Linked DNA regions of Oryctolagus cuniculus. The protein of the gene in region 2 interacts with the protein of the main gene of each other region in a pairwise test. Links are inferred from orthologs where the notes say so. Each region holds a gene or a part of one and is shown on either strand. Other genes may lie near its edges. The genes, in order: WT1, KRT40, LAGE3, HDAC4, AP1M1, RWDD2B and SH2D4A.

Region 1 (4,640 bases), on a different chromosome or scaffold from region 2:
CACACAACGCAGGGTAAAACCGAAGTCTAAGAAATGTGGAACGGGTCTAGGCGACCGGAGCACTCGGCTTCTTTGACCAACTGCGACGACCTCCATGGTCGCTTCACTTAGGCGCCGCTGGAGCCGCGGGCCCCAGCCCCGGCCTCCCGCGCGAGGCCTCTCAGCAACCGGCTGCTTCCTGCCCCGCGCGCCTGGCAGTCCCAGGCTGCGCCATCGCCGCTGCCTCCTGGCGCTCTGCGTGTCTGTGCGCCGCTGAGGCGCTCCCCGCTTCGGGCTCCCGGCCCTTCTCCTTACCCATACGCTGGTTCCCGATAGATCTTCACTACTTTGGAAGAACTCACAAAACAAAACCAACTCCCCAACACCTGCTCTAGCGCGCGGGGCTCCGCGGGACAGCGCCTAAGTGGAGGGAGGAGTCTAATTGGCGAAGCCACGCGCTCGGAGCCCCCCACGGTGCGAACACTGCCGCGCAACGTAGAGCCGAGGCAGGCTCTCCCTGTCCCGCTGCGTCCTGGGCCTCGTGTCCATCGCTTTGCTGACCAGAAGCAGAGGCAGTGCCTGGCAGAGCGGTCTCAGGAGCCAACCTCTCTCCGCAAGCATCGCATCCGAACCCTCCCCATTTCCATTCCTCTTTCTCCCTCAACTGGGCGCCGGGATGCTCCGGCCAGAGTATAGGCAGGCTCCGGGTGTTTTCCCCAAGGGTTCTCTTTCCTCCCAAACTAGCCTCGCTTTTCCCGGCTTAACCGCACAACTGGATACTCCTTGGGAGAAAAGGAAAATACGGGCCGCTGGCAGCAGTTTTAGGTAGGCGGCAACCGCCCCCCTCTCAGACCTTACCAACTAACCCACGCCCAGACGATCCAACACGCCCCGCTTAGCGTAACTGATGCCCAGCTGGGGCGCTTTTGCCCTGGGTCTCGACCCCCGGAATCCACAAAGGGGCCGCCCCCACCCCAGTGACCCGAGGATTACGGACATCATCCCAACTCGACGGCTCGTAAAGCAAGAGCCGAAGTCGCGGGCGCAAATACCCAGGGTATCCGCCTCTTTCTTCGCTCCCCTTCAGTTCCCGCCCTCTTGGATCCCACCTGCTCCTCCCTCCAGCCCGCCCTCTAGGATGAACCACCCAGCTCCAAGGATGCAGAGGGGGTCACACGGCTTACCTGGAGGGACTCGCCCGCGGCCTTGAGGCGCCCACACTCCTGAAAGCTAGGATGGGGCGGTGGGGGGAGGGCTGCGCCACACAGGCCTGCTGAGAGCGCGTGGCGGGTGGGAGAGGAGGGTGTCTCGGCGAGGGACGCTCCCTCAGGCCCGCCCCCCCCCGCCCCCGCGGCGAGGGCGCCCCCAAGGAGCTGTGCGCGCTGACCAGCGCGGCTAGGGCTGCGGTGTGAATGGAGCGGCCGAGCCTCCAGGCTCCTCCTCCTCCCCCGCCGCCGGCCCCTCTTATTTGAGCTTTGGGAAGCTGGGGGCAGCCAGGCAGCTGGGGTAAGGAGTTCAAGGCAGCGCCCACACCCGGGGGCTCTCCGCAAGCCGACCGCCTGTCGGCTCCCCCCTTCCCGCCCTACCTCCCACTCACGCACCCACCCACCCAGCCACCCAGAGCCGGGACGGCAGCCCAGGATCCGGGGCCCTGCCGCCTCCTCGCCGCGATCCTGGACTTCCTCCCGCCGCAGGAGCCGGATTCCACGTGTGCCCCGGAGCCGGCATCTCAGCACGCGCTCTGCTCGGGGCCCGCGTGCCTTCAGCAGCCCGAGCAGCCGGGAGTTCGGGGCCCGGGCGGCATCTGGGCCAAGTTAGGTGCGGCCGAGTCCAGCGCCGAGCGTCCGCAGGGCCGGAGAGGCCGCGGGGCGTCCGCGGTTGAGCTGCAGCAGATGGGCTCCGACGTGCGGGACCTGAATGCGCTGCTGCCGGCCGTCCCCTCGCTGGGCGGCGGCGGCGGCTGCACCCTGCCAGTGAGCGGCGCCGCGCAGTGGGCGCCGGTGCTGGATTTCGCGCCCCCGGGCGCCTCGGCTTACGGTTCGCTGGGCGGCCCCGCGCCGCCGCCCGCTCCGCCGCCACCCCCGCCGCCGCCGCCGCCGCCTCACTCCTTCATCAAACAGGAGCCGAGCTGGGGCGGCGCGGAGCCGCACGAGGAGCAGTGCCTGAGCGCCTTCACGGTCCACTTCTCGGGCCAGTTCACCGGCACAGCGGGAGCCTGCCGCTACGGGCCCTTCGGCCCTCCTCCGCCCAGCCAGGCCTCCTCTGGCCAGGCCAGGATGTTCCCCAACGCACCATACCTGCCCAGCTGCCTCGAGAGCCAGCCAGCTATTCGCAACCAGGGTGAGTCGGCGGGGGAGCGCGAGGCGGCGGCGCCGGAGCTGTCGCCGCGCGTGGCCTCTCCTCTCCCCTCCCCCGTCCCGGATCTCAGCTCTGGCCCCGCAGCCTCCGCTATGGCCGTGCGGGTGGCGGAAGCGTTGGCCAGGGAGCGGGGGAGCGCACGCCAGTAGAGGCTCCCGACATTCTCCACAGCGCGGCAGAGCGGGGAGCCTAGCGGTTCGCATGAGCCGGGAGTCCGCCTGGGGCCCCGCGAATCCTCCCCTCACGGGAATGGAACAAGGGGAAGGGTACAGAGTGCGGCCAGGCCTCGGGCCACGAGTTGTTTTTTTTTTTTTTTTTCCCCTGCTTTTGGCGCCTCCAAATTATCACTAGGCATTGCACTTTTTAGACGTGTGTAGATGGTGGGGTCAGGTTGGGAGCAGCGCGGGTGAGCATCCCGGGCCTGCCTCCCCGCCCCGCCGCGCCAAAATGTCCAGGAGCTCCCCAGGTATTAATACGGTGCTGGCACACACTGGCACCCAGGAAGAACCGTGGGGCAGTGACCAGGTGGCTTGCCTGAGCCGCGCCTGTGCTGGTGGAGAGTGCGCGCCTTAGGCGGTCTCTCAGGTTTCGCTCAGGCAGCGGCCACGCGAGGCTCCAGCCACGGACAGGAACCCAGCTTACCCGATTCCAAATGCTACCGCAGGCATTTAAGGCCGGAGCAGATGCCCTTGGCGCGCCTCCTCGTAATGTAAACCAGGGAGAGAGTTTGCAACCTGATGCGTTAGGACAAGGCAGGCTTGTTCGCCGTCTTCAGTCGATTCCCCCCGAGCGACGTCGGCCGGTGATTCTCTTATACCCGCGCGGGCGTCCACGCGCGTGACGTTTGGTCCCGACCAGCGCAGACTCCTTTAGAACGAGCGCCTGTGGTCCGGGCCCTTCGTTTATTCTCCTTGCATGTCTCTGCTGTTGAGAACCTTAAACCGGTTCGGGTTGATGGGATGTTTTAGGAAACGCAATGGCGGACGCTTTTCCTGGATCACCACCTCGCCCAGGCCCAGGACTGGGATGGTTCTAGAATGAGTGGGGTAGGAGGAGCACTGTTGTGCACCGTGTTCCCGAAGTACCAGGAGGCACGAAGTACCCTGAGGCACGGAAGAAGAGGTTGGCTCTTCTCGCTCTCACCTGCGTCTTCTGAAAGAGGGTCTGCGTGGCTCTCCCGACCACCCAGGAGCCCTTGGCCCAGCCGAAGCCGTGGCAAAACCGAAACCATGCAGTTTCCTCCAGAGAAATCTGGGAACCGGGTCCCACGGAGGAACCTTAGGCAGACCCCAGGGCCCCTCTCCGCCTCTCGGGAATGAAGTTTTTGGAACGCAAGGGCTGTTGGAAGCACTTACTGTGGCTCTCAGAGACTCATGTTCTCGGGGCGCTCCACCTCTTACTGTAGGCTGCTGTTAACCTTTATGGAATCTCCAGGTCTCAGTTTCCCCCTCTGTCAGAGGAGAGTTGAGATGGACAATTGGAGGTTGGGTCTGCCCTCAGAGGTGTCGGGGAGAGAAGTGGCAGTCTGACTTCTCCCAGCGCGGGGCTCTCCGTCCAGGACAGAGTAGCGTACCTTAACAGCCCAGGGTTCCAGACGCGCCGCCGCCCGGCAGGTGTGTGACACAAGTCCGTGGGTGGACTTGTGTTATCTGGAGAGACCCTAGAAGCTTCCTATCCAAGACCCCGGGGGAACCAAAGACTGCCGCACCTTTATCTCCGTTTTGAGTCTCAGTTCTGCCCTGCGAATCTTGAAACCTGGGTTCTCTGGCTTTGGTTGGGGCCCCAGTGTCCAGTCTCCTGGTGGGCAGGTGCTTAGATTCCATCAATTCCACCTACATGTAGGGGCAGAGGTGAGGTTCTCAACCAGTGGACACTGCACTCCTGGGGACAGTTATAAGGCCCTTCCAGTGGACAGGCTTCAAGAGTAGGAGTGGGAGACCAGAATGAACAGGTAACTGCATCTGCCTATCCTTCCCAGGGGGAAAGCCAGATGGGGAGATGGCCCCAAGTCTGCCAGCTTAGATTTTTCTCTCCCAAACAAAACAGAAATGGGTTGAGCAGGCCCAGCCCTTGGGGGTCCCTTGGCAGCTGAGAGCTGCAGTGAGATGTGAGCCTATCTGAATGGCCAAAAAGGGAAGGCCCTTAGTGCCTCCAGAGTCCACATGTATTCTTTTGATTTCCCTGGGTTCTTGCAGCTCCCTTAGAAAGCAGGACTTGGCCCAATGCTTGGGGCTAGGGGACTCAAGGGCTGTTCCAGAGAATGGTCATAACTTGCCAAGGCCAAACGCCAGGGGCCAGAAATG
Region 2 (4,742 bases):
TACCTAGGAAGCAGAGCTCACAGTTAGGGAAACAAATTCAGATTATTCTGGATCATAAAGTTTTTAACTTTGTATGGTTCTTAGGGTTTTGTTCTATAAAGATGTTAAAGTTTCTAAAGTCAATCTTTTCTATGCATCTTTGAAAATGAAATACATGCAATTAAAGCCAAGAAATAGATTATGCTTCATAATAGAAGTTAAATCCAAGAGACAATGAACAAAGCTACATCTCAAGTCCCTGTCCATCCACTCTTGCAGCAGAGACTTCTCCCAATGAAACTGCTGGTTTGGGACCAATATGATAGAATTTTATTCTCCAAATTCCAGGAGTTTTAATTTTCACAGAATTTAGGACTTGATTAAATTTTAAAAATAGATTCAATATCTAGAAAAAAGACTTCCATGATTTCTTTTCCCCTACCCTGAAGTGTAATCAAGGAGGATTTCCCAAGAAAGAAAGACTGTAACTTAGAACTTCCATTTCAGTCTTATTAAAATACAAGTTTAGGGCCGGCGCCGCGGCTCACTAGGCTAATCCTCCACCTTGCGGCGCTGGCACACTGGGTTCTAGTCCCGGTCGGGGCACTGGATTCTGTCCCGGTTGCCCCTCTTCCAGGCCAGCTCTCTGCTGTGGCCTGGGAGTGCAGTGGAGGATGGCCCAAGTGCTTGGGCCCTGCACCCCATGGGAGACCAGGATAAGTACCTGGCTCCTGCCATCGGATCAGCGCGGTGCGCCGGCCGCAGCACACCGGCCGCGGCGGCCATTGGAGGGTGAACCAACGGCAAAAGGAAGACCTTTCTCTCTGTCTCTCTCTCTCACTGTCCACTCTGCCTGTTAAAAAAAAAAAAAAAAATACAAGTTTAAAAAATAGCATAACTGATCAAAAATGATGTGCAGGAAACACAGAGGAGGTAAGTTTCAGAAAATCAAAGATCCAATTCCAGGTCTTGATGACCAATTTATGTTTTTTTCTGCCAGGAACAACTTGCTCCCATCAGCAGTGCACAGCATTCTTCTATTGCTATACAGGGAGATGGCACACATGTGCACAGCACACACACTAAAAGCCATACACATCTCACTGTTCGCAAAAAGCAGGGCAATATTACCCATCACACTCACCATTTTTATGGCGGTAACACAAACAAATAAACGTTACTGAGTTGTAGTGCTCATTTTAAAAGTAGAAGAGGGGAGTCCATAGGCTCCAAACTTAAAGCAAAGATAAGGAAGTGGAAATGCTGAAGGGAGCTGTTTACACCATGTACATGTGTTGAAATATTGCGCCGTGCCCCATAAACAGGCACAGGTCTTACAGGTTAGCTTTCGAAAGTAGACACAAGGATCAGTGCACAGAATCAAACTCTGGGGCCATGTAGTTTTCCTCCTGGTGATGGGTTGTACCTGTCATTATTGCTTGGCTGAATTTTTTCTTTCTGTCAAAAGGACAATACTTTCTATGATGATTTTTTGAAATAAGAATTTTGTTCTACTGACCTGTGGAAATAGTGTAGGGCCTGATTTAGTAACCTAAAGTTAGCCCTCTTTTATGAGGCATGAAACTCTTCCTCCATAAATAAACAACACTAATGAAACGTTTGTATGGAAACTGGTACCGACAGGGTACAGAAAACATCTGGTGCCCCGGTAAATACCCAGGGCAGGGAAGTGCTATATAAAAGTCTCAGGAAGGAAGGAGACTTTTTGAGTCAAAGCAAAGGAGTTTTGCAGACACTCTCTGCTCATCACTTCAAGAATGACTTCCGAAGCTTCCCACACACACTGCTCTTCTGAGTCCTGTGCCAGAGCCTCTGGCTGTGCACCTGCTTCCGCCCACTCCCTGGAAAGGACTTGTCTCCCCAGTGACGGCTCTGCAGGCAGATGTCGGAGCCCCGGCTTCCTCTCCAGGTCTTGCTTGTCCACCCGTTGCCTCACGCCATGCTACTTGGTTGGGAGTTGTGACAGTCCATGCTTGGCAGGGAGCTGCGCGTGGTGTGAGGATGGGATGCTCAACAGCAACGAGAAAGAGACCATGCAGCTCCTGAATGACAGACTCGCCAGCTATCTGGAGAAGGTGCGCAGCCTGGAGGAGACCAACGCCGAGCTGGAGTGCAAGATCCGAGAACAGTGTCAAGAGAGTATCCCACTGCCGTGCCCTGACTGTCAGTGCTACTTCAACATCATTGAAGATCTCCAGCAAAAGGTTCCGTGTCTCGTCACCTTAATGTTCCACCTTCCTAATCTACGATTGGCTTTACCTTTACCTTAGAAGAGGCATTCTTGCGGAAAGAAACCAAAGGAAAGGCGAAATCTGTGAGTTCATGAGATATGAAAGAGAGGGCACAGGACTGAAGGTTAGGAGTCAGCAGCAGCCCCACAGCTGCCCCTGTTCACCAAGGGGCTATGATGGGGACAGGGGCTGGTGGTCTTCAGCTGTATCTCCTATAGAGTGTGTGTGTGGCACTTCCATATGCATCCCTGCACATTTATATCAATTTTTACACCAGAATTGAAATGCCATTGTTATATCATACAATTTCACCTAGAAATCATTTTCTTCTCTTACGGATGAATTTCTATTACTGTTGGTGGGGATACAGTTCTAATACAAACTACTGATGCAGAAGACCTGAACAGCATTCAACTGCCAAGCAATATTGGGAAATGTCCTGAGCCCTTTTCATGTCTGTGCTTTGATTCTAAGTTGGCACTGCCTTTTCTCTTCAGTAAGTCACAAAGTTAACAAGCAAGCAGGCTGAAAGCAGCTTGATTCTTTCTTACATCCCCTCACAGACAACTAATGGCAGAGCCATGAAGGGTACAGGTGTTCAGGTTTCTTTCCAAGAACCATTTACTTTACCTAATAACTTGCTTCTCAGATCTTGTGCACGAAAGCAGAGAATTCTAGACTTGCTGTACAGCTCGACAACTGCAAACTGGCTGCTGAGGACTTTCGGACAAAGTAAGTTTACCTGCAATTTGAATATAATTTGTGGTTTTCTTTCTGTGTCTCTTACACACAGACACACACACACAGAATATTCTCTATATAATTTTTTCAAGCTAAAATATTCTAAAAGCTCAAATTTGTAATTATTTCATACACAAAATAAACGACAGCATGCGGCTTCCTTGAGCCTGTGTGTCAATCCCCCAGTGCACCCAGCACTTACACGGTGTGTGGGAAAGCAGCATTGCATGTATCTCTCTTGCTGTGTAAGGTACGACAGTGAACTGTCCCTGCGTCAGCTGGTGGAGAATGACATCAGTGGCCTGCGTGGGATCCTGGGTGAGCTGACCCTGTGCAAATCTGATCTGGAAGCCCAAGTGGAGTCTCTGAAGGATGATCTCCTTTGCCTTAAGAAAAGCCATAAAGAGGTGAGAAAGAGGCAGCAACCCAGAAGGAGTCTAAGAGTGGAAACGTTACACTGGTAGAGTTCAAGTTGATGTGTGCAAACTGAACCTGGGAGAACGCTGCTGAAGCTGAACTAACACTCCTCGAGGCTCTACTGCGCTCAGCCTGACCACTCCACTGTGACGTCCACCTCAGATAGGGCATGAAGACGCCTCTGGTATCCAGACCAGTTTTAAATATCCCATTTCTATGAACTTTTTAAAATCATAAAATACGAAAGTGTTGATCTCGTTTTGATGAACCAGAAAATGAAGTGCAGAATCATGTAATAGATGTGTTTTCTCTTTGGGCATTTGTGGATGATGACAACAGTTCACATTTACTGAGAACATCCTCTTTGAAGCAACTTCCTAAATTCTTTATATGTATGCACATATTAACTCTTCCATATCTCACAATAATCCCCCAGAACAAAATAAAATTACTATGCCAATTTTGCAGAAGAAACTGGGCACTTGTAAGGGGGGGGAAAGAGAATTAGCCCAGGGCATCAGAATTAAAATCCTACACTTTTACTCAGTATTTCACAACTCGGGAATGGGATGCCACTGTGTGTCGGATGGATTTTGCCCTACTGCTCTGTGACATTCTTCACTCCCTTCCCACTTTCAGGAGGTCAACTTGCTCCGTGGCCAGCTCGGTGACCGACTCAGTGTGGAGCTGGACACCGCCCCCACCATCGACCTCAACGAGGTCCTGGATGAGATGCGCTGTCAGTATGAGACGTTGCTCGCCAACAACCGCAGAGACGTGGAGGAGTGGTTCGCTGCTCAGGTCAGGCCCGAAGCAACATGGGAGCAGGACTCCCCGCATGTGCCTCGGCAGGGTTCTCTAACCATGCCTGTGTTTCAGACAGAGGAGCTGAATCAGCAGCAGCTGTCCAGTGCAGAGCAGCTGCAGGGCTGCCAGACGGAGATGCTGGAGCTGAAACGCACAGCCAACACGCTGGAAATTGAACTTCAGGCACAGCAAAGCCTGGTGCGTATGGCAAAGAAGGTGTCCGCCTTGTCACTGATAAATCGGGCTCTGACAAACACCCTTTCCCACAACCCAAGGCAGAGATCCCCAGTTCGTGTGGCAGGTCTGGATTTCCAAGTTGCAAGGATTCCGCTTCCTTGCCTTTCCAACCACCATGCTTACCCAGCTAGAGGCAGAAGTGACAGGTCAACAGCTTGCACCGGCCCACCAGGGTGTTCTAACCTTCCCCGCAGGCCTGAGTGCGATCCTGCGGCACCCCCCAGAGACAGGCAGGAGTGGAGAGGCCACAGCAGCATAGCACGTAGGCAGTCCAGAGGATTTTAAGTCTCTTTTGATCAGGCCAATATG
Region 3 (3,484 bases), on a different chromosome or scaffold from region 2:
CTTCACGCAAAAGAGAAGTCAGATGTGAGAGAGTCGTCAGCAAGGCGTAACACTAGGCAGGGCACGTGTCGGAACTGGGCACCTGAGCGAGTGTCCAGTCATTCAGAATGGGGAGGGCAAGGTTCAGCGGCTAGAACTTTCCTGATGGGCCAAGCGCCAAAGAACCAAGAGCTGAGCTGAGAGCCCAGTCCGCACTGAGACCGGGCCTTCTGAGGGACTGGGGTCCAGTTCTTCCCTGTTTCTCTTCCCCGCAAGGGCTTTGCTGGGTGTGAAATGGGTGAAATCCCTCCCAAAGTTTTATTACCCAGTTATCAGACTGAGCAGCCTGCTTAGCGCCAGACAGAGGGTTCTCCTGGGGTGCCTTTTTGGGAGGCAAGGCTGGGGCCACCAATAAAGTGACGGGGGTGGACAGGGCTTTGTCGTGTAAAAAAATACAGGACTGCTGCCCAAGTGCACGTCCCAGGCTGCTACATTGCTTTCCACCAGGGCTTTGTTTTCCTTAGGCCCTCTTCACACACACAGCTAATCTCTCCCTTGCTACCTAACAGCCTCACACACAGTCTGAGATCGATCTTGTTACCTAACAGAACGAACTGATACAATGGAACTACGATACATTTGGCAAACTTCAGCGACGGAAAAAAAATCTAGAGCCAAGGTGGCGTTGTAGTTTACCAGGTAAGGCTGTAGCCAGCAACGCTATGAAATGGTTGCTCCTCTTCCAATCCAGCTCTCTGCTGTGGCCTGGGAAAGCAGTAGAAGATGGCCCCGGTCCTTGGGCCCCTGCACCTGTGTGGGACACCCTGAAGAAGCTCCTGACTTTGGATTGGCGCAGCTCTGGCAGTTGCGGGCAACTGGTGAACCAGTGGATGGAAGACCTCTTTCTCTTTCAAATAAATCTATTTAAAATTTATTTATTTGAAAGATAGGGTTAGACAGTGAGAGAAAGAGACAGAGAGAAGGTCTCCCCAAATGGCCGCTACGGCTGGCGCTGCGCCGATCCGAAGCCAGGAGCCAGGTGCCTCTCCTGGTCTCCCATGCGGGTGCAGGCACCCAAGCACTTGGGCCATCCTCCACTGCACTCCCGGCCACAGCAGAGAGCTGGAGAGAAGAGGAGCAACCGGGACTAGAACCCAGCGCCCGTATGGGATGCCGGCGCCGCAGGCGGAGGATTAACCAAGTGAGCCACAGCGCCGGCCCCAAAATAAATAAATCTTAAAAAAAATATATATTGCAGCTCAGTTTCTCCAGGGCCTGTGGGTACCAGCAGCGCTGTGTTGTCGGGAACCGACCACGCATCTGCCTGCTTCACTGGAGGTATGTTCTGGCTAGCGCACTAGCATCGAATCACGAATGCAGTGTTTCTGAAGCTGCCAGGGTCTCCAAGAGCCCCCACGTTGGGCCACTATCGCGGGAACTCACGAGGCGTCCCAACAGCCTCGTCAAAGGTGTGTTTGCGCAGGCGCGCGTGGACGTGGTCGTGCGCGAGGGGCGGAGCTTCAGGAGGGCGGGCAATCTACGAAGCTCCTGGAGATGGCGGGCCGTGGCGCAGCGCCCTGAGGGTGGGGTTGAGGGCGGGGCAGCGGCAGCCATGCAGGCTGCGGACGCAGGCGCAGGCGGCGTGGCGGGCGGCGCTCACACCCAGCGTGGACGGCGTGGCCGCGACTTTCCCGATGGTACCGACACAGAAGCAGCTGCAGCCCGTGGAACTCGAGAAGTCGCGCAGGCACCGCACGCTGCCGTTCCGGGCGGAGACGCCGCGACAGCAGCCGCAAGCCCGGGAATGCGACCACACTCCTTGTATCCTGCGGGAGGGGCACAGTGGGGGAAGGGGGTGGAGGCTGCCCGTGGTGGGGGCAGGGTAGCCTGGAACAGAAGGTGGGAAGGGCGAGTGGGAGGACCGGTAGCACAGAAAGAAGAGCAGGGTAATCGGAGCCGCCCGGATGGCTGTGGGATTAAAGCGTTAGCCAGTGGGGGGCGCCCGAGAGAGGTCATGGAAGCCGTCAGAAGAGCCAGGGAAACAGACTCGGGCAAAGTCGCTTCCGATGGTGCCTTTACCAAACCTCCACCAGTACCCTCAGTGTGCCTTTTCCCACCCGTCTGGAGGCAGAAATCGCCTGTGAGTCCCTGGCTCCAGATGCTGAGCCTCACCCAGAAGCGATTGGAAAGGACCTCGCAGTGACCGGCACCGTCCTGGCGGTGTAAATGCTTCCGGGGGCCGGGGGTGGGGTGGCAGGAGTGGGGGAGCGGGAGGCGGTGAGGGGAAGGCAACAGGGGATGTGGCCATTCTCCACTGAGAGGTAGGCTGGGAGGCCTGGAGGCACTCCGGGGGAAGTCTAAGGAGCAGGTCTGGGACGCTGCCCGAGAGGCCCTGTAATACCGGGGCTTCCAGGATCTGCTGCACTGGATGCCTGAGGGGTAGAGCAAGGGATGTGGGCAGCTACTGTCCCCGACTTGATTTTCTTGTTCCTTCCCTTTTAGCCGCTGGACAGCTAAAGATCCTCGCCTCCTCCGAGTTTCCATCATCAGCTTTCTTGAGCAGCTTTCCCTGGTGGTGCGCACCCTGCAGCGCTTCGGGCCTCCCGTTGCCCGCTAAGACTGGACTGGGTAAAGGGGCCCAGTTGTTACCTTGCTCGCCTCCTAGAAAATGTGTCTCCCTAGGGCGATCATGCCCGAAGCAGGATGGGGCCTAATGGCTTGCCTGCATTGGGTTCTGGGTGCTCAAGATCTGTTTGTTTTCACCAGTGCTTAAATGTTTGCTACCACAGAAAATAAAACTGACCTCTTCCCAGTTTCATATCCTTTTCACATACAAATATCCTTGCCATTGTCCTGGAGTTGCAGTGGAAGAAACGAGATTCACATGTTTAAGAAATGCAAGTTGGGGGCCGGCGCCGCGGCTCACTAGGCTAATCCTCAGCCTTGCGGCACCGGCACACCGGGTTCTAGTCCCGGTCGGGGCGCCGGATTCTGTCCTGGTTGCCCCTCTTCCAGGCCAGCTCTCTGCTGTGGCCAGGGAGTGCAGTGGAGGATGGCCCAAGTGCTTGGGCCCTGCACCCCATGGGAGACCAGGAGAAGCACCTGGCTCCTGCCATCGGATCAGCATGGTGCACCGGCCGCGGCGGCCATTGGAGGGTGAACCAACGGCAAAGGAAGACCTTTCTCTCTGTTTCTCTCTCTCACTGTCCACTCTGCCTGTCAAAAAATAAAAATAAATAAAAAAAAATGCAAGTTGGGGCTGGTGTTGAGGGACAGTGGGTTAAGCTGCCACCTACGTTGCTGGCATCCCGTATAAGTACCAGTTTGAGTCCCAGCTGCTCTACTTCCCATCCACCTTCCTGCCAATGCCCCTGGAAAAGCAGCATAACATGGCCCAAATCCTTGGGCCCCTACCACCCATGTGTGAAACCCAGATAGAGTTCCAGGTTCCTGGCTTCAGTCTGGTCCATTTGTGTGGTGAACCATCACACCTTTCTCTGTGTCA
Region 4 (4,063 bases), on a different chromosome or scaffold from region 2:
AACTTCTTCACCCCCCACCCCAGTACTGTTTTCTGAGTGTGTGTGGGAGGCCCCACACAGCTCCTCACATGCGTGCCGTGTTTGTGGTCTGAGCACGGCCTCGTGTCCACCGTGACTTCCTCCTTGCCTCGGGAATCACCGTGCTTTTAAATTTCCAGACGTAGGGGCTCTCTCTGTTGCCAGTCTCTAACCAAATGCACCGTGGTCAGAAGAGGCCTGGCTGGCGCTTGTGTTCCGTGGAACGTGTGTGGTGGCTGCTGTGGTCAGTCCACATGGCACTGCACACGTGTTTGGCATCACATGTGTCTCCAGCTCTGCAGGACTTGGTTTGTGTCCCTTACCCATGCTGCCTAGTTGCACATTTTTGTTTCTTCACCGGTTTTTGTCCGCTTGGCTGCTGGGTCTAAGACGAGTGGGACGCTCCCCCGTGGAGGCAGATTTACCCCCGTCTGCCTGCGTGCATCTCGTCGTGGCAGAGGGGCCCTGCCCGCGTGCACGTGGTGCTTGCCTTGCACCCCGTGTGCCACGTCTTCCAGCACTGCGACCCAGGGGTCTTGTCCTTGACCATCAGCCCCTTCGGGCCGCAGACGCTGCTTCTGCAAAGGGCATGAGGCTGGCTGTGACTCGCTCCCTGCAAGCCACACGTCCCTAGTTCCACTTGACCATTACTCAGCCCATTTCCTTTGTGGTCATTTATTTGAAAATCAGAGTTACAGAGAGAAAATGAGATGTCCCATTCTCTGGTTGATTCCCCAGATGGCCACGGCAGTCAGGACTGGGCCTGGCTGAAGCCAGGAGCTTCCTCTAGGTCTCCCACGTGGGTGCCGGGGCCCAAGCACTTGGGGCATCCTCCGCTGCTTTCCCAGGCCATCAGCAGGGAGCTGGATCGGAAGTGGAGTGGCCGGGACTCGAGTTGGCACCCTTATGGGATGCTGGTGTTGCGGGCGGCAGCTCCACCTGCTGTGCCACAGCGCTGGCCCCTGTTTATTTTTTTGAAATGCAGAAAGAGAGAGACTGTGAGAGATCAGTCTTCCATCTGATGGATCACTCCCCAGGTGGCCACAGTGGCCAGGACTGGTTCAGGCCTAAGCCGGTGCCCAGATTCCATCCAGCGCATTGCATGTGGTGCAGGGGCCCAAGGACTTGTGCCATTTCCTCGGCTTGCCAGGCGCGGGAGCTGGGAGCTGGGACTGGAGGCCGAGCAGCCAGGATGCTGGTTGCAATGCCAGCTCCAGACAGCGCAGACGCTTCTCTGGCTGCACCGACAGCACCAGGCCACGCTTCCTGCGGCATGCCCGCGTGCCTATCGGCTCCCTCGGCCCCTGAGGTTGTCCGCCTGGTGTCGCCATCCTGCCTAGGCATGGATTTCCCTTCCTGTTCTGCCTGCCGGGTCTTGCCCCTCTCCCAGGCTGCAGGCCCCAGGGCCGGAGCCCCGTGTCTGGCTGCCCCTCGTCCCTTCTCCCTGTTCCCTGAGGACCTGCGGGCAGCCGCACAGACCCCCACAGCCCACCCTCTGGGCTTGCTCTGGGCCACTGCCTCGGGTGCCCCTCCACACGGTGTTCTCCTGTCTGGTCTCATCGCGTGCCCAGCTTTCTGCTGCCACGCTTGGATTGCTAATTCATTCTCTCTCTCCCTCTCTCCCTCTCCCCCTCTCCCCCTCTCCCCCTCCCCTTCCCCCTCCCCCAAGTCTTCCAGGTCAGGTACCGCACTCTCTGGCTTTTCCTCACACATGAGTGTTTTCCTGTGTGTTTGAAGTGCAGTAAGCGTGTTTTAAGTTGTAACTGACGGTTTCAGTGACTGCAGTCTTGGGGGGTCTAAACCAGCTCGTTTAACTTTTGATCTCTGGGAGGTTTTAAGGTGTACGGAGCCCTCGCGCCAGTGCCCTCCTGGGCGGCTTCCTCTGTGCTGGCCTCCTCCTTGAGCCCCAGTCACCGTGCACAGCTCAGAGACCAGCTCCAAGCCGAGCCACACCAGGGACGGGGCAGGGGCAGGGGTGGTGTACAAGTGATCAGGATTCTCCGTGGAGGAGTCTTACCTCCCCGGTTGGCCCCTGGGTCATTCACAGGTGTCCCTGTGGACTCGCCTCTGCCTGTCATTCTGTGCCAACAGGGGATGGGCCCAGGAGGGCAGGTGGGGGGATGGCCACCAGCGGCCTGCAGGAGATGCGGGAGCAGAGCGGGTGGAGAGGAACACGATGCTCCTAAAGCACACTAACCGCTTCCCCTGGCGTGGCCCGGGGGCGGAGAGCAGGCAGCAGCTCGCGCCCGGGCCCTGTCCTCCCTCCACCTGCCGGCAGGAGCGCCGGGAGCCCGCGGCCAAGGCCGGGAGGAAGTGAGCTAATAGATTCCCGCGGCCACGTGAGCCTTTCTGAGTGTCCTCTTCCCTGCGGGCAGACGCACTCCACGAACGGCCCGGCAGCGGGCAGGGGCAGGGTTGGCCCCGTGCTGCGACAGCCACGTTGGCTGGGTAGCCACTGTGTGTCCCTCTCTCTTCCAGCTCGACCCTCTGCCCGAGCAGGTGGTCCAGCAGAGACCCAACGCGAACGCCGTCCGCTCCATGGAGAAGGTCATGGACATCCACAGTGAGTGGTCGGGCCCAGCCGCTGTCAGCTGGCCTTTGCTGAGCGGGTAGAAGCAGCCACAGCCTCCCGTGACGACACATTACCCCACTGCACAGGCCAGAGAGCGGGGGCCCCAGCAGCGCCGGGCAGCCCAGGGCTGGGGGCCCGAGTGGGGGGCTGCAGGGCAACCTCCTACCACTGCCCTGTGAGCACAGGCCCTGGGGGACCCCTGCCGGCTCGCCTGTCTCACACGTGTCCGCGCCGCAGATCCCTGTTTATCTCTGGGTCTCGGAGACCCGAGTGGGCAAGGCCCTCCGAGAGGTGGGTAAAGCCAGACATCGGCTCCCGGTGTGCCTGTGCGGGGGCTGGGTTCCTGGCCTAGAGCCGCTTCCAGCCCCGGGCACACCCCCAGCGTCTGTCAGTCCCAAGGCAGGGGCCCCACGGGAGCCCCCACCCCCAGTCCCACGAGGTCCCAGACATCGGCTCCCGGGTTCCTGGCCCAGAGCCGCTCCCAGCCCCGGGCACACCCCCAGGTCTGTCAGTCACTGCACTTGCGGGGACCTGTAGGTGCGGAGGGAGCGCCAGGTGATCCCAGGCAGGCTCGATGCCCCTGGCTACCCGGAAATGTTGCCCAGACGAGTGGGCTGGCCTGCCGCTTCAGAGAGGTGCTTTTGACTCGCGAGACCCCGGGCCCTGCGACAGCTCCTGCCTGGTCCTGAGTGCGCCTTCCCCGCCCGCAGGCAAGTACTGGCGCTGCCTGCAGCGCCTGTCCTCCACGGCCGGGCACTCCCTGATGGAGGCGCAGAAGTGCGAGAACGAGGAGGCGGAGACGGTCACGGCCATGGCCTCGCTGTCCGTGGGCGTGAAGCCGGCCGAGAAGAGGTGAGCTCGCGGGCCCTGGCAGAGCCTGGGAGAGGTTCCGCCCTGAGCAGGGGGCCGGGGCGGGGCCGGGGCGGGGCCGGGCCGGGCCCTGCGGTGACGGCCCTGTGGTTCTCTCCCCTCTGCCCCCTCCACGCAGACCCGAGGAGGAGCCCATGGAGGAGGAGCCGCCCCTGTAGCGCTCTGGAAGGCGCTGTTCCCTTGTTTGTTTGTCTCTGTCTTGAAGCTCAGCCAAGAAACTTTCCCGCTCACCCGCGTCTGCCGCGGTGCCCCCTCGAGTGCTGGGGCGCAGGCGCGTGGCCGCAGCGGGAGCCCTTCTGCCGCCCACACGCGGGCCTGGCAGCGTCCCGCGGAGCACGGGACAGACACGGCAGCGAGCAGACACACGGACACGCGGAGGCCAGGCACACCGCCGGCTCCCAGGAGGGAAGCCGCCAGAGGCCTGCGGCGACTCGTGGCAGGGTTGCCGGATTCAGTCGATGCAAGGAACAGAAAATGAAATCAAAGATCTAATAATGCAAAACAGACTTGATCAAAACTGGTGCTTCAAGTTCGGTTAGGACCCACAATTCCACAGTCTCCGTGTAAACCACTCAACTCATCTTGTAGCTCATTTTCTTTTTT
Region 5 (4,063 bases), on a different chromosome or scaffold from region 2:
GGTGTCTTCCTGCACTGTCGATGTGCGTGCCGCGATGGTTTTCCCAGCCCCACACTCCTGGAACGGCCCTGGCTGGTCTCGGTTTCCTCTTCTTCCCCTGCGTCCCTGGGCCTCAGACCATCCCAGCGTCAGCGCCAGGGCTGACATCTCGGGGCCATGTTCCGAAATGTTCGCAGCTCTTGGTGTGCTGAGTGGTTTTGGCTTACATGCCGGCTGTCGGCCGTGACCTATGATAAGGTTCTAGGTTTCGTTTACAACGTAAGGGAAGTGTTGATGCTCTCATTTTAGCCAGCAGTCCACCTGCCTGGGTTCAGGCCACCACTTCAGCGCTCAGCCTGTGGGCCACAGAATCATTTCTGTGTTCAAGGCCTGCGTGCCAGACGTGCGCTGCTGGGGCTCCGTCTGGGGCCTGGGATCTTAGGTCCCCTCACGGGTCTCTGTGTGTAGCCTGAGGAGGTGGGTTGCTGGGCCCCTGGCCCTCTGTTCCCTACCGGGGCCTCCCTGGGTCCTGTGGGTGGAAGCCGGGGGAGAGAGCCCCGCTGTCCCACGTGTCTTGCGTGAGTGCCCTGCTCCCGAGTATCAGGAATCCGCACTGTGGCCCCACAGCCCAGCTGGAGGCTCCCCTGCCCACCTCGCCCTCTCCCAGCTGCCCACCTCGCCCTCTCCCAGCTGCCCCATCTCGCCCTCTCCCAGCTGCCCACCTCGCCCTCTCCCACCTGCCAACCTCGCCCTCTCCCACCTGCCCACCTCGCTCTCTCCCCAGCTGCCCACCTCGCCCTCTCCCACCTGCCCCATCTCGCTCTCTCCCAGCTGCCCACCTCGCCCTCTCCCACCTGCCCCATCTCGCTCTCTCCCAGCTGCCCACCTCGCCCTCTCCCACCTGCCCCATCTCGCTCTCTCCCAGCTGCCCACCTCGCCCTCTCCCAGCTGCCCACCTCGCCCTCTCCCAGCTGCCCACCTTGCTCTCTCCCACCTGCCCACCTCGCCCTCTCCCAGCTGCCCACCTTGCTCTCTCCCACCTGCCCACCTCGCCCTCTCCCACCTGCCCCCCTCGCCCTCTCCCACCTGCCCACCTCGCCCTCTCCCACCTGCCCACCTCGCCCTCTCCCACCTGCCCCCCCTTGCCCTCTCCCACCTGCCCACCTCGCCCTTTCCCACCTGCCCACCTCGCCCTCTCCCAGCTGCCCCATCTCGCCCTCTCCCAGCTGCCCACCTCGCCCTCTCCCACCTGCCCACCTCGCTCTCTCCCACCTGCCCACCTCGCCCTCTCCCACCTGCCCACCTCGCTCTCTCCCAGCTGCTCCCCGCCCCCACCTCAGGCGCACTCTCCGCCTGAGCTCTGGTTCAGCACCTGCTGTCGGGCGAACCTGTGGGTTCAGCCAGTCCCAGCAGGTGGGTCACCCTGCTGTGCCCTCAGGCAACAGCTTGTGTGGCGGCCCGGGCCACCTGCCGGCCCTGGTTGGGACTTCTGAAGAGCTAAGCCTCCAGCTGTGGGACTGGCGCTTCGAGCAGAGCTGCCTGCCCTGTGACAGCGGCCGCAGTAGCTGTGATCCTGCCCAGGGTGCCCTGGGGGAGTAACTTGGAGAGAGCAGAGTATGGCTCCGCCGGGAGGGCCAAGCTCCTCTGCACCCTGGCTGGCACCAGGGCGGGTGTGGGGCTGCCACCTTCCAGGTCTGACTGCAGAGCCCATGGCCGCGTCACCATTGCCTCCAGATCGCGATCAGCTGGACGGGGCAGGGTGCCGGAGCAGCCGGGCCCTGGCAAACATCTCGGCAGCGCCCGCCCTGGCCGGCTGGGGGCACTTGGGGTGCCACCTCAGCGCAGGCCACAGCCCCGAGTGCTGCCCACGGGGCTGGCATCAGCGCCTTCCCAGGCCTACCCGCAGCTGCGGGAGGCAGCTCCCAGAGGAGAGCAGTGAGGGGCCGGCAGGTAGCACACAGGGTCCTGACAGCGCCGCAGGTGCGATCCCAAGGTGCCCTGTCCTGGAGCCCAGGTGGGCCAGTCGCTGCTTCCCGGGGGACACAGCAGCCAGCAGCCTGCCCCTTGCTGGAGGGGAAGACAGAGACAGACCCCCACGGGCCACCGAGACACGGAGGGCAGAGCCTGTCTCTCCAGGTCGGTCTCAGGGCTGTCGCCTGGCACTGCAGGGGCGGGCGCCCTTTGGCCACGTGGTGCCTTCAGACCCTTGCGGCAGGCACTGGGCCCCCGCTGCCTCGGCTCGGCTGGGCTCCAGGGTCGGCCCATGCCCTGCGAGTGTTCTAGTGTCCCTGGGTCAGAGTCCTTGGGGCGGGGGGGGGGGGGGGGGGGGAGGCGGCCACAGCCCCTGCTGTGAAGGCTGGGGGAGGGGTGAGCCCGGGACTCTGAGCAGGGTGTGGGTGGGAGGAGGGCGTGGCCTGGCCTGAGCTGGGCTACCGGGAGGGGGCTGGGTAGGGAGGCGAACCTTGGGAGCACAGGGTGAGCTGAGGCCCCCCGCCCCGCGCCCCCCAGGTGAGCGCCAACGGCAACGTGCTGCGCAGCGAGATCGTGGGCTCCATCAAGATGCGCGTCTTCCTCTCGGGCATGCCCGAGCTGCGCCTGGGCCTCAACGACAAGGTCCTCTTCGACAACACGGGCCGTGAGTAGCCGGCCGCGCTGGGCGGGGGCCTCAGACACCCAGGGTGCAGTTCCCGTCCCTCGGGGCTCTGCTTCTGCCCTCTCCTGGGGCTCTGGGTCCGCACTGGGTGAGGGCCACACACGGGTTCCCGTTCTCGCAGGCTGGCTGGTGCTCCCAGGGTGGGGCAGGGGACGCAGGGGCTCAGCCTGGGGTGGCGCAGGCCTTCTCCGGACTGCGGCCGTGCCCAGGCCTGCCCAGCAGCTCTGCCTGCTCTGGGCGAGCAGAGCCTGACCCACGTTGCCATGTGTGGAGTACAAAGCTGAGAGAGGACCCAGGCCCCAGTGGCGGGGCGCGAGCCCTCGGGGACCCCCACGCTTCACGCAGCCAGGTCTGAGAGTCACTCAGCAGACACATTCCATCCAAGCAGCTCCCCTGTCTGGGCCCTGGGCTGCCTGCTGGAGACTCCGGTGAGCTGGGCCGCCACCGGGAGGAGGCTTGGAACCCGCGTGCCCCGTGCTCTGCAGCTCGGGACACTCTCCCAGGGGCGGCCTGGGCCACAGGAGCCCACACACAGGGCACACAGTGCACACACACACATAGCACACACACACACACCTGTCCCCTGCAGGACGATCTCTCAGGGGCAGCCTGGGGCCACAGGAGCCCGCACACAGGGCACACACACACACACAGTGCACACACCTGTCCCCTGCAGGACGCTCTCTCAAGGGCAGCCTGGGCCACAGGAGCCTGCACACAGGGCACACACACACACACAGTGCACACACGCAGAGTGCACACACACAGTGCACATACACACACACACCTGTCCCCTGCAGGACGCTCTCTCAGGGGCAGCCTGGGCCACAGGAGCCCGCACACAGGGCACACACACACACACAGTGCACGCACACAGGGCACACACACACACAGTGCACACACACAGTGCACGTACACAGAGTGCACACACACAGTGCACGTACACACACACACCTGTCCCCCACAGGATGCTCTCACAGGGGCGGCCTGGGCCACAGGAGCCTGCACACAGGGCACGCACACACACACAGTGCACACACGCAGAGTGCACACACACAGTGTACACACACACACCTGTCCCCTGCAGGACGCTCTCGCAGGGGCAGCCTGGGCCACAGGAGCCCACACACAGGGCACGCACACGCACACACAGACACACAGGGCACACACACAGCACACACACACACCCCATCCCCTGTCCCCCGTCCCCCGCAGGCGGCAAGAGCAAGTCGGTGGAGCTGGAGGACGTGAAGTTCCACCAGTGTGTGCGGCTCTCGCGCTTCGAGAACGACCGCACCATCTCCTTCATCCCGCCCGACGGCGAGTTCGAGCTCATGTCCTACCGGCTCAACACGCACGTGAGTGCACCTTCCCCTGGCCCCGCCCCGCCCGGCATGCCCTCCCCTCCGCAGAGCGGGCCTGCACATGGGC
Region 6 (4,543 bases), on a different chromosome or scaffold from region 2:
GTTACACAGGTGTACGCACTTTTCAAAACTCAGTAAATGTACATTTAAGATATGCATTTCCTTTTTAACTCAAAAGAAAACTCAATTAGGACTAATGATAGGCACACTCACAAGGAAAGTGTACTAATCTGCAAGTTACTTTAAAATCTATCGGAAGAACTGGTGTTGTGGTGCAGTGGTTAACCTGCTGCCTGCAATGGTGGCATCCCAAGTGAGTATTGGTTCAAGTCCCAGCTGCTCCTTTTCCAACCCAGTACCCTACTAATGTGCAAGTAAAAGCAGCAGAAGACAGCCCAAGTGCTTTGGCCTCTGCCACCACTATGGGATACCAGTATGGAGTTCCTGGCTTCTGCCTGGCTTAGCCCCAGCCATTGGAGTCATTTGGGGAATAAACCAGAACATGGGAGATCTTACTCTCTTTCTGTAACTGCCTTTCAAAGAAACAAATTTAAAAGTAAATAAAATGTATCAGAAAAAAATGGATTGATGAGTGACAAAGCAGGTAAAGTAAAAAATGTTATGCTGATCTCTCTACATCTTTGCTTTTAATCTCAGAGCTGGTGTTTGGTGCTCAAATTCCTGCTGTCTGCTGATACATGCCATGGTAGGCAGCATGTGATGGCTCAGGTACCTGGGTTCCTGCCACCCATATGGAAGACCCAGCTGGAGGTACCTGGCTTTGGCCTGGCTTCACTCCAGCTGTTTGGGGCATCTAAGGAGTAAACTAACCGTTGGCAGATCTCTGTCTCCACTTTTCAAATAAATGAAAATAAACTTTAAACATTTTTAAAAACAGGTTTCTTATCCTCAACAATATCAACATTTTGGACCAGCAAGTTCTTAGTTGTAGTGGCACATTCTCTGGATTGTAGACAACTGAGTAGCATCCCGAGGCTCCACCTACTAGATGCCAGTGGCATCGCTCCAGTGGTGACAACCCAAAATGTGTTCTGACATTGCTCAACAGGGGTGAAGGCACTCTTCCTTGAGAAATGTTCTACTGCTTCACTGTAAAAATCTCTCATCCTTATTTTATGCTTTAGATTTTCTATACCCACGGTTCGAGGAAAAAGAATTAATAACATTGAAAACCATTCACAAAACACAAGCGCCTTCAGATGCAGCTCTGAAGACCTATTTACTATCATCTTTTATTTTTTTAAAGAGAAGATTGTGAAGTTAGCAGTGATAATAGCTACCAGTGAATATCAATACCTACAAACCTTACGACTTTCCTAAAATAAGCGTGCAACACTACAAAAAGTGCACTGCATACAGAATGAGAAGGAACACCCTGTAACTACCCCCCGTGCTGGAATCTCCTTCTAACTCTCCTTTCAGTAACAGAGATAAATAATTCTGCGTATTCACCCGGTCCTCCCTGCTTGGTTACCAGGTAAGAACACAGGCCATCACCCTAGTGTCTTGCTCCTCTATGGTTCATGGACAAGGACCACCACTGCGTGGAGAGACTAGAAACGCTAATTGGGACCCCACTCCTCCCTACCCAGTAGAGATCTGTACCGCGGCAGGACTCCCCAAGGATTCCCAGGCACGCAGGCGCTGCGGGAGCCCAACTTGAGTGGGCAGATCCGCGTCCCAGGACACGGCGCCCGCTCCACTCCGACAGCCAGCGGTGGGAAGCGCCGATGGGGCTGGAATGCAGAGGGCCCTAAAAGGAAGACTCTGCGAGTGAGACGCACCTAACGGGGCCAAAGAATTCCTTCTGTTGATCCGACTTTAGAGGAAAACTCAAGCCGGTGCCGATGTCTAGCCGAACCCACAGATCAGGGCGTCCTCGGCTTCCGGAACCCGCGGCCTGGCCTGCGCGCATGCGCCAGCTGAGGGCGCGCTCTCACGCCCCCCAGGCCACCGCGCAAGAGCGAGGAGTAAAGGTCGGGCGGCCGTAACCGCGGATTCCGACGCTTCCTCCAGACGCGACTTGAGCAGTCCGTGCAGCAAGGAAGCCTGGAGCTCCAGCAGTGAGGGAGCTGCTGCCAGAGGTGAGTCTCCCGTCCGCCCAGCAGCAGGGACGGCGGGCCTGGGGCTCCTGCGCCGCGGCAGTGCGTACCGCCTTCCCGGAACTGGCCGACGTCGTGGCTCCGCCTCCCCTCGCGCTGCGCGTTCTCTCATTGGTCGGAACCGACCTCGCCCTCGTGCCCCGCCTGCAGCCGGGGCCCGACATTCCCGTCTCTAGCTGGGGCCCCAGTTCCCCAACGGTGGGCGCCTTTCAGGACGCGGGCGGTGGTGCTCTTTGGCGAACAATAGTAATCACCAAGGCCGAGCCCACTCACGAAAGTCAACTTGCATTGTACATCCTTTAAATCGTGAGTCGGAAAATTCTCATCAACGAAAACCGTCTGGCAAATAAATGACATCCCTTGTGACCTCACTTCCTCTGTTGTCCTTTCACTGGTCCTCTGACAGACTTTGTCGATTCCGCTTCATTTTCCAGACCCCAAACTCAATAGGACCCTCTCCCAACTTGACCCTCCCTCTGGGTGACTTTAAACACATAACGTTAAATAAGCGTTGATGACTCCTCAACTTACATCTGCAGCTGAATTCTTCTATGTATCTGTATTCAGCTGCTTTCTGGACATCTCTAAGTGGTGTCTCAATAGGCATTTCATTACTTAATATGTCAAAAACCAAGCTATAGATCGCCACAATCTCCTCCATCTAAATAAATGGCAAATCCATCTTTTCCAGTAGCTGAAAGCCTTGGAATCATGGCTACCTATCTCATGTAATCCATCAGGAAATGCTGTGTGCTCTACTGTGTTTGTTCAAAATCTTTTTTTATTATTATTATTATTTTTGACAGGCAGAGTGGACAGTGAGAGAGAGAGACAGAGAGGTCTTCCTTTTGCCGTTGGTTCACCCTCCAATGGCCGCCGCTGCAGCCGGCGCACCGCGCTGATCCGATGACAGGAGCCAGGATCCAGGTGCTTTTCCTGGTCTCCCATGGGGTGCAGGGCGCAAGCACCTGGGTCATCCTCCACTGCACTCCCTGGCCATAGCAGAGAGCTGGCCTGGAAGAGGGGCAACCGGGACAGAATCCGGCGCCCCGACCGGGACTAGAACCCGGTGTGCCGGCGCCGCAAGGTGGAGGATTAGCCTATTGAGCCACGGCGCCGACCGTATGTTCAAAATCTTAATGGTTGCTCACTGCCTTGACCCCCAAGCCATCTTCATCTCTCCAAGTCACGGCAGTACCTGTGTGGTCTCCTTGCTTTCCTCTGTTCTCTTGAGCATCAAGTGTCAGACCTTTTCCAGTGACCTTCCGTATCAGGATAAAAACCAAGGTTCCATATTTCCAATATAACCTCTTCTATCACCCTGCCCCCTGCTCAGCATGCCCTAGCCAGGTGCTTTAGAACCTCCTGCCCCTTTGAACATGCTTTTCCTTCTGCCTAGCGCACCCTTTGCTCAGATAAACACATGGTTTCCTTTTGAGTACCTTCTAGTCTCTTCCATGCAGTCATCTCACAAGAGAGGCCTTGGGACTGGGGTTGCAGTGTAACAGGTTAAGATGCTTCTTGTGATGCCAGAATCCCATGTCAGGGTGCCAGTTCCAGTATCAGCTGTTTCACCTCTGATCCAGCTTCCTCCTAATGTGCCTGTACAGGCAGCAGAAAATGTGCCATATTCTTGGGCTTCCTGCAGAACTGTGGTGTTTAGAATCCTTCCAAAGCAAAGAAGGAATAATGAAGAAAGACTCTGGGCTCTTCCTCCGGTCCTCTCATTTCCTGCCTGAATGTTGGCTGAACCCAACCACAAGAAAGTCAGAAGAGCAGGGTGATGTGGGTTACAGAGGTCAGCTGTCCAGAGCAGAGAAGGGCCAGGAATAGTTTTAGGGTACTTATTTGTCAGCTTTTCATTACTACAGTGAAATATTTATGAAGGAAGAATGTTTATTTTGGCTCACAGTTTTGGAGTTTTGCTGTCCATGATCAGGTTTTTGGTATCTGATAATCACATTCATAGGAGCAGAGTCCTGAGTTGATGCAAGGCATCACATAGCAAGGGGGAAAGCAGGTGGAGAAAGAATCACATGGCAAGCCAGGAAGCAAGGAAAATAGATGAACTCAACTTGGTTTTTATAACCAGTGTTCTTGAGAGAACTACTATTGATAGCACTCTCCCGTTGACCGGAGAACCTCCCACTAGGTACAGCTCCTAAACACTATGAATGGATTAAATTTGGGCCATTTTTCTGCCATCAACTTTATAACTTTGGGGTTTTAGGAGCTACCCAGTGGCTGGCGCCGTGGTATAGTGGGTAAAGCCACTGCCTGCAGTGCCAGCATCCCATATGGGCACCAGTTCAACTCCCAGCTGCTCCACTTCTGATCCAGCTCTCTGCTATGGCCTGGGAAATCAGTAGATGGCCCAAGTGCTTCAGCCCCTGCACCTGCATGGGAGACCCAGAAGAAGCTCCTGGCTCCTCGCTTTGGCCAGTTCCCAGCCACTGTGGTCATCTGGGGAGTGAACGAGCTGATGGATGATCTCTCTGTCTGTCTCTAACTCTGTCTTTCAA
Region 7 (4,063 bases), on a different chromosome or scaffold from region 2:
CCAGATAGCCACAGCAGCTGGGGCTGTGCCAGGCTGAAGCTGGGAGCCAGGATTTTCCTCCGGGTCTCCCACGTGGGTACAAGGGCTCAGCAGAGGACTTGGGCCATCCTCTGTTTTTTTCCCAGGCTCATCAGCAGGGAGCTGGATCAGAAGAGGAGCAGCCATGACTTGAACTGGTGCCCATATGGGAAGCCGGCACTGCAGGCTGTGGCTTTAACCTGCTGTACCACAGCGCCGGCCCTGAGGAGTATCATCTCTAGGATGTGGGTTTAGTTGGCTTCCCTACCTTTAGAAGCTGTTAGAATCAGAGTGCAGAAATCGTTGCAAGACAGCAGTTCTGTGGCCAAAGCCTCGGAGGGTCACCTCAAAGCCAGGAGGTGACACAACGTTAGCAAAGGACCTGGGAGGGATGTGCCTGCCGGAGTTAGAGTCAGGGACCCTCCTTGCAGTTAATTGTTCATGGAATGTTCGCTTCACTGGATTCAGGTAGTTGAAAGCTGCAGTAGATTGTAGGTTGCAGTGAGAATAGCGGTTGCTGCAACATGGCCAGGCTACACAGCCAGCAGTTGGTGAATCTGAGTGTCGTGTCTGCAAACCCTGGCCACCTAGCATGCTTGTCAGGAAGGACTGGTGTGGGCTGGGAAGCCGCTTGGTGAGGAAGAGGAGGCCGGGGGACGCTGCCAGGGATTCCGGGTGGTGACAGGTACACGAAGCTCCAGCATCACGCGTGGCAGGGAAGAGAATAAGAGGAACGCAAACCATTGTGGCTGTGATAGGGTTAAGTTATTAGTCTAAAGTTTACGAGTATTTGAACTTACCATGGAGGAACCAGATAATCTGAGAGGGTGTGGTTAGCAGGTGCGATTACAGAGGCATGGTAAGCACCCAGTTATCTAGAACATCAATGACCCTGAAAAACTATAGTAAGATTTTGCATATCCTGCTATATTGAAACAAAGTCCCTTTTCTCCCTCAGAATAATAATTTCTTTCTAGTTATAAAATTATGAAGGCTTGGCATCTTTCTAAAACATTCAGCCAAATGGAAATGTGTAAACAGCATGGAAGACCTTGGTGGAGTTGCCACCCCCACCCCTCTGTGTGTGCCCAAGTGCATGGCTTCATTCTAAAGTCACCTTCTCTCGCATTTTAGAAATCAAAGGCCTGTGTGAGGAACCTCAGGGCCTCTGTATTTCGCAGGTCGTAGATTCTGTGAAGGGAGGTGTCTGGGAAAGGCACATTTAAACCCAGGGACCTCCCAGGAGGTGCTTGGGTGTTCTCTGCTGCACCTGCTGTTTCCACAGCCCTCATAGGTCGACTGGAAATTGCACTGTCTTAGTGTGAAAGGACAAATACATGATGGTGTTCTTAAGTGCTGCTTTGAAGGGAACATGTCAAAGTTGCATGGTGGTCACCTTTTTATTCTTTTTTGTTCCCCGAGCATGGCTCTGGTTTGGTTTGGTTTGGAATCCGTAACTGTGAAATCTCAAACATGGTATTTTCTTTTGAAATAGGTTGTATGGAAAGAGCCTTTTAATTTCTTCCTGCCTCCCCCATTTTTTTTTTCCTGTTATGCTTTTTTTTAGCCATCAGTTGGTGGTTTGCTAGGTTTTGAGCTAATAATATGTCTGTGTGGTTGGGAGAAGGCCAAACCTCTGTTTGTTTTTTTAAAATTTAAAAATTTTTTTTTTATTTTCCTGAGATTGGCCTGTAAAAAGTTAGGGTGGTTGTTGTTGTTGTTGTTGTTGTGTTGTTTTTTATAGAGTGCCTTTGGAAATTATGGGATGGGATCGACGTTGCACAAACTCTGAAACTTGCTTGGAGGTTTCTCAACCCCTACCTCCACCCCCCGGCCAAGAAGTGAAAAGTGATACTGAATTTCCTCCAAGGTTTATGCAGAAGCCCATGCTTGCTCTTTGCAGGTTTGGCGAGAGGCGTTTTGAACAGGATGTTTGGTGCCACGGCCCAGGAGCCGGTTTGCTGAGTTACCCTCCCAGTCCTCCGTGATCACCAGGCCACGTGCGCCCCTGGGAGTCCTTGAGGTGCACCCGGCACCGCATCTGCAGGCCACGTTCAGGAACTTTGGCCGCGGGTTTTGTAAAAGACTCCAGAAGCGCCAAGATGCTGAAACAGATACTCTCGGAGATGTACATAGATCCCGATCTGCTGGCCGAGCTGAGCGAGGAGCAGAAGCAGATCCTGTTCTTCAAGATGAGGGAGGAGCAGATCCGGCGGTGGAAAGAGAGAGAAGCGGCGCTGGAAAAGAAGGAGGCCTTGCCCGTGACACCCAGACCCAGGAAAGGTGAGCCCAGCCGCGCCGTGGTAGGCCTGGCTGCTGGCCGCTCTGGCACCCTCACGCCAGCACGCGCAGGCCGGGTGCAGGGTGGTGGACGGATCCTGAAAGAGAGCTTTGCTGACCTGTAGGCTACTCACAGGCGCGGCGTTTTCCATGCGGTCACTCAGGCTGTTTGTTGACCAGGGGCCGAAGGACAGGTCAGCTCCGGGGCCTGACCTGCTGGTGGGAGGAAGGTTGCTGCTCCCCTGTCTGCTGGAGGTGCCTTTTGGCTTGGCAGAGCACAGAGTTCTTGGGTCAGCCGTGCGAGCTGTCTTTTTCTGTTTCAGGAATGCTCCCTGTTAAAATCTAAGGAGCTACAACAAAGAGGACTTGTGATGTCCTGTTTGTTTTTTAGTGGGAGTCAAGTGCTCGGATGTAGGAGTACTTCCTCACACCAGAGGAGTCCCTGGCACGTTGAGAGGGGTCTTTGGTTCTTTGAGACCATGGAGGGGGCACCGACCGGTGAACACTGACCTGCACAGACGGGGAGCAGCGGGTGAACCGCTCTGCTGTGTGTCCGTCTGCACGCCCCATCCCAGCACACGCTCTGCTGAGGACGAACCCCAAAGCGGTTAACAAACAAAGCCATTTTCAGGGTCGCTTACGAAGGCATTCCAGGGCAGTTTCTTCTCATTTTTCATTAAGCCAGGGAAGAATAACGTTTGATAAGATCTTTGCAGGCTTGTGAGGTTGAGAAAATGAATCTCACTTGTGTGCTTGGGAGAGGAAGTTGGTTCAGTGACCTTTAACTTAACTTAACTTAACGCTGCCTTTATTAAAACTGCTTCTTAATGAAGCCTTCATAATGCTAAGGAATACTTCACTTATTATTGTTTTTGTCAACATCAGCTGTTTATTAGCAATGTGGTGCTTCAGACACTGCCATGTGCTTTGATGAACACTATGTTTTTTTTTTAAATATTTATTTGTTTGAAAGAGTTACACAGAGAGAGGAGAGGCAGAGAGAGAGAGAGAGAGAGGTCTTTTATCCAATGGTTCACCCCCCAGTTGGCCTCAAAGGCCGGAGCTGCGCTGATCCGAAGCCAGGAGCTAGGAGATTCTTCCAGGTCTCCCACGTGGGTGCAGGGGCCCAAAGACTTGGGCCATCTTCTACTGCTTTCCCAGGCCACAGCAGAGAGCTGGATTGGAAGTGGAGAAACTTTTGTAAAATCCTCATTAATTGCCTTATTTAGTATTCAAAGGGTTTGTGGACTAATAGAACTAAAAGTGAGTTTATTTCAGTACAAAACAAAGTTTGAAACCCATCGTTTTTTTTTATGATATGCATTTGCCATGCACCGTGAAAAATTTTTTGCTTTTTGCATGAAAATTTTTTGTACCAAATAAACTCATACTTGAGACTCCACTTCTCAGAAAGTTTTTGAAGCCTCTTAGACCGCTAGATCTGTTGGATTTCACGTTACTCCACACTATTTAGAATAGAGTTGTTTCTTCAATGAGTAGCACGTCTCAGCTGAAGAATAATCCTTTTGTTTTAAATTACGTATTAGAAACTAGAGGCAGAGATATTTCCCATCCAGTGCTTTATCCTTAAGTGCCTGGAACAGCCAGGGCTGGACCAGGCCAAAGCCGGAAGTCAGTGTAGGTCTCCCATGTGAGTGAGGGGGACTCAGCCACGTGAGCCATCATCTGCTGCTTCTTGGGGCCTGCCAGGGACTGGAATCAGGCGTGGAGCTGGAATGGGAGCCCAGGCTCTTGGTATGAGAGG

Evidence for each region.
Region 1: the proteins of KRT40 (region 2) and WT1 interact in binary tests that used the Homo sapiens proteins (3 or more experiments, as listed by UniProt). The two-hybrid records come from large-scale screens. The link is inferred for Oryctolagus cuniculus from reciprocal best matches to the Homo sapiens genes KRT40 and WT1.
Region 3: the proteins of KRT40 (region 2) and LAGE3 interact in binary tests that used the Homo sapiens proteins (3 or more experiments, as listed by UniProt). The two-hybrid records come from large-scale screens. The link is inferred for Oryctolagus cuniculus from reciprocal best matches to the Homo sapiens genes KRT40 and LAGE3.
Region 4: the proteins of KRT40 (region 2) and HDAC4 interact in binary tests that used the Homo sapiens proteins (3 or more experiments, as listed by UniProt). The two-hybrid records come from large-scale screens. The link is inferred for Oryctolagus cuniculus from reciprocal best matches to the Homo sapiens genes KRT40 and HDAC4.
Region 5: the proteins of KRT40 (region 2) and AP1M1 interact in binary tests that used the Homo sapiens proteins (3 or more experiments, as listed by UniProt). The two-hybrid records come from large-scale screens. The link is inferred for Oryctolagus cuniculus from reciprocal best matches to the Homo sapiens genes KRT40 and AP1M1.
Region 6: the proteins of KRT40 (region 2) and RWDD2B interact in binary tests that used the Homo sapiens proteins (3 or more experiments, as listed by UniProt). The two-hybrid records come from large-scale screens. The link is inferred for Oryctolagus cuniculus from reciprocal best matches to the Homo sapiens genes KRT40 and RWDD2B.
Region 7: the proteins of KRT40 (region 2) and SH2D4A interact in binary tests that used the Homo sapiens proteins (3 or more experiments, as listed by UniProt). The two-hybrid records come from large-scale screens. The link is inferred for Oryctolagus cuniculus from reciprocal best matches to the Homo sapiens genes KRT40 and SH2D4A.

What each region holds. Positions count from the first base shown.
Region 1 is NC_091432.1:33,511,624-33,516,263, forward strand, and holds the start of WT1 (Wilms tumor protein), read left to right. Parts: upstream 1-1,462; 5' UTR 1,463-1,871; coding exon 1,872-2,319; intron 2,320-2,669; exon of another isoform or gene 2,670-4,640. UniProt on the Homo sapiens protein: Transcription factor that plays an important role in cellular development and cell survival. Recognizes and binds to the DNA sequence 5'-GCG(T/G)GGGCG-3'. Regulates the expression of numerous target genes, including EPO.
Region 2 is NC_091448.1:21,607,437-21,612,178, forward strand, and holds the start of KRT40 (keratin, type I cytoskeletal 40), read left to right. Parts: upstream 1-1,691; 5' UTR 1,692-1,757; coding exon 1,758-2,204; intron 2,205-2,880; coding exon 2,881-2,963; intron 2,964-3,222; coding exon 3,223-3,379; intron 3,380-4,028; coding exon 4,029-4,190; intron 4,191-4,268; coding exon 4,269-4,394; intron 4,395-4,742. UniProt on the Homo sapiens protein: May play a role in late hair differentiation.
Region 3 is NC_091453.1:132,705,424-132,708,907, reverse strand, and holds LAGE3 (EKC/KEOPS complex subunit LAGE3), read left to right. Parts: upstream 1-1,504; 5' UTR 1,505-1,591; coding exon 1,592-1,800; intron 1,801-2,072; coding exon 2,073-2,201; intron 2,202-2,481; coding exon 2,482-2,596; 3' UTR 2,597-2,797; downstream 2,798-3,484. UniProt on the Homo sapiens protein: Component of the EKC/KEOPS complex that is required for the formation of a threonylcarbamoyl group on adenosine at position 37 (t(6)A37) in tRNAs that read codons beginning with adenine.
Region 4 is NC_091434.1:1,667,069-1,671,131, forward strand, and holds part of HDAC4 (histone deacetylase 4), read left to right. Parts: intron 1-2,496; coding exon 2,497-2,581; intron 2,582-3,300; coding exon 3,301-3,442; intron 3,443-3,578; coding exon 3,579-3,618; 3' UTR 3,619-4,063. UniProt on the Homo sapiens protein: Responsible for the deacetylation of lysine residues on the N-terminal part of the core histones (H2A, H2B, H3 and H4).
Region 5 is NC_091447.1:64,739,818-64,743,880, forward strand, and holds part of AP1M1 (AP-1 complex subunit mu-1), read left to right. Parts: intron 1-2,487; coding exon 2,488-2,614; intron 2,615-3,847; coding exon 3,848-3,990; intron 3,991-4,063. UniProt on the Homo sapiens protein: Subunit of clathrin-associated adaptor protein complex 1 that plays a role in protein sorting in the trans-Golgi network (TGN) and endosomes.
Region 6 is NC_091435.1:16,633,395-16,637,937, forward strand, and holds the start of RWDD2B (RWD domain-containing protein 2B), read left to right. Parts: upstream 1-1,567; 5' UTR 1,568-2,003; intron 2,004-2,144; exon of another isoform or gene 2,145-2,327; intron 2,328-4,543.
Region 7 is NC_091439.1:3,493,701-3,497,763, reverse strand, and holds part of SH2D4A (SH2 domain-containing protein 4A), read left to right. Parts: intron 1-1,921; 5' UTR 1,922-2,120; coding exon 2,121-2,301; intron 2,302-4,063. UniProt on the Homo sapiens protein: Inhibits estrogen-induced cell proliferation by competing with PLCG for binding to ESR1, blocking the effect of estrogen on PLCG and repressing estrogen-induced proliferation. May play a role in T-cell development and function.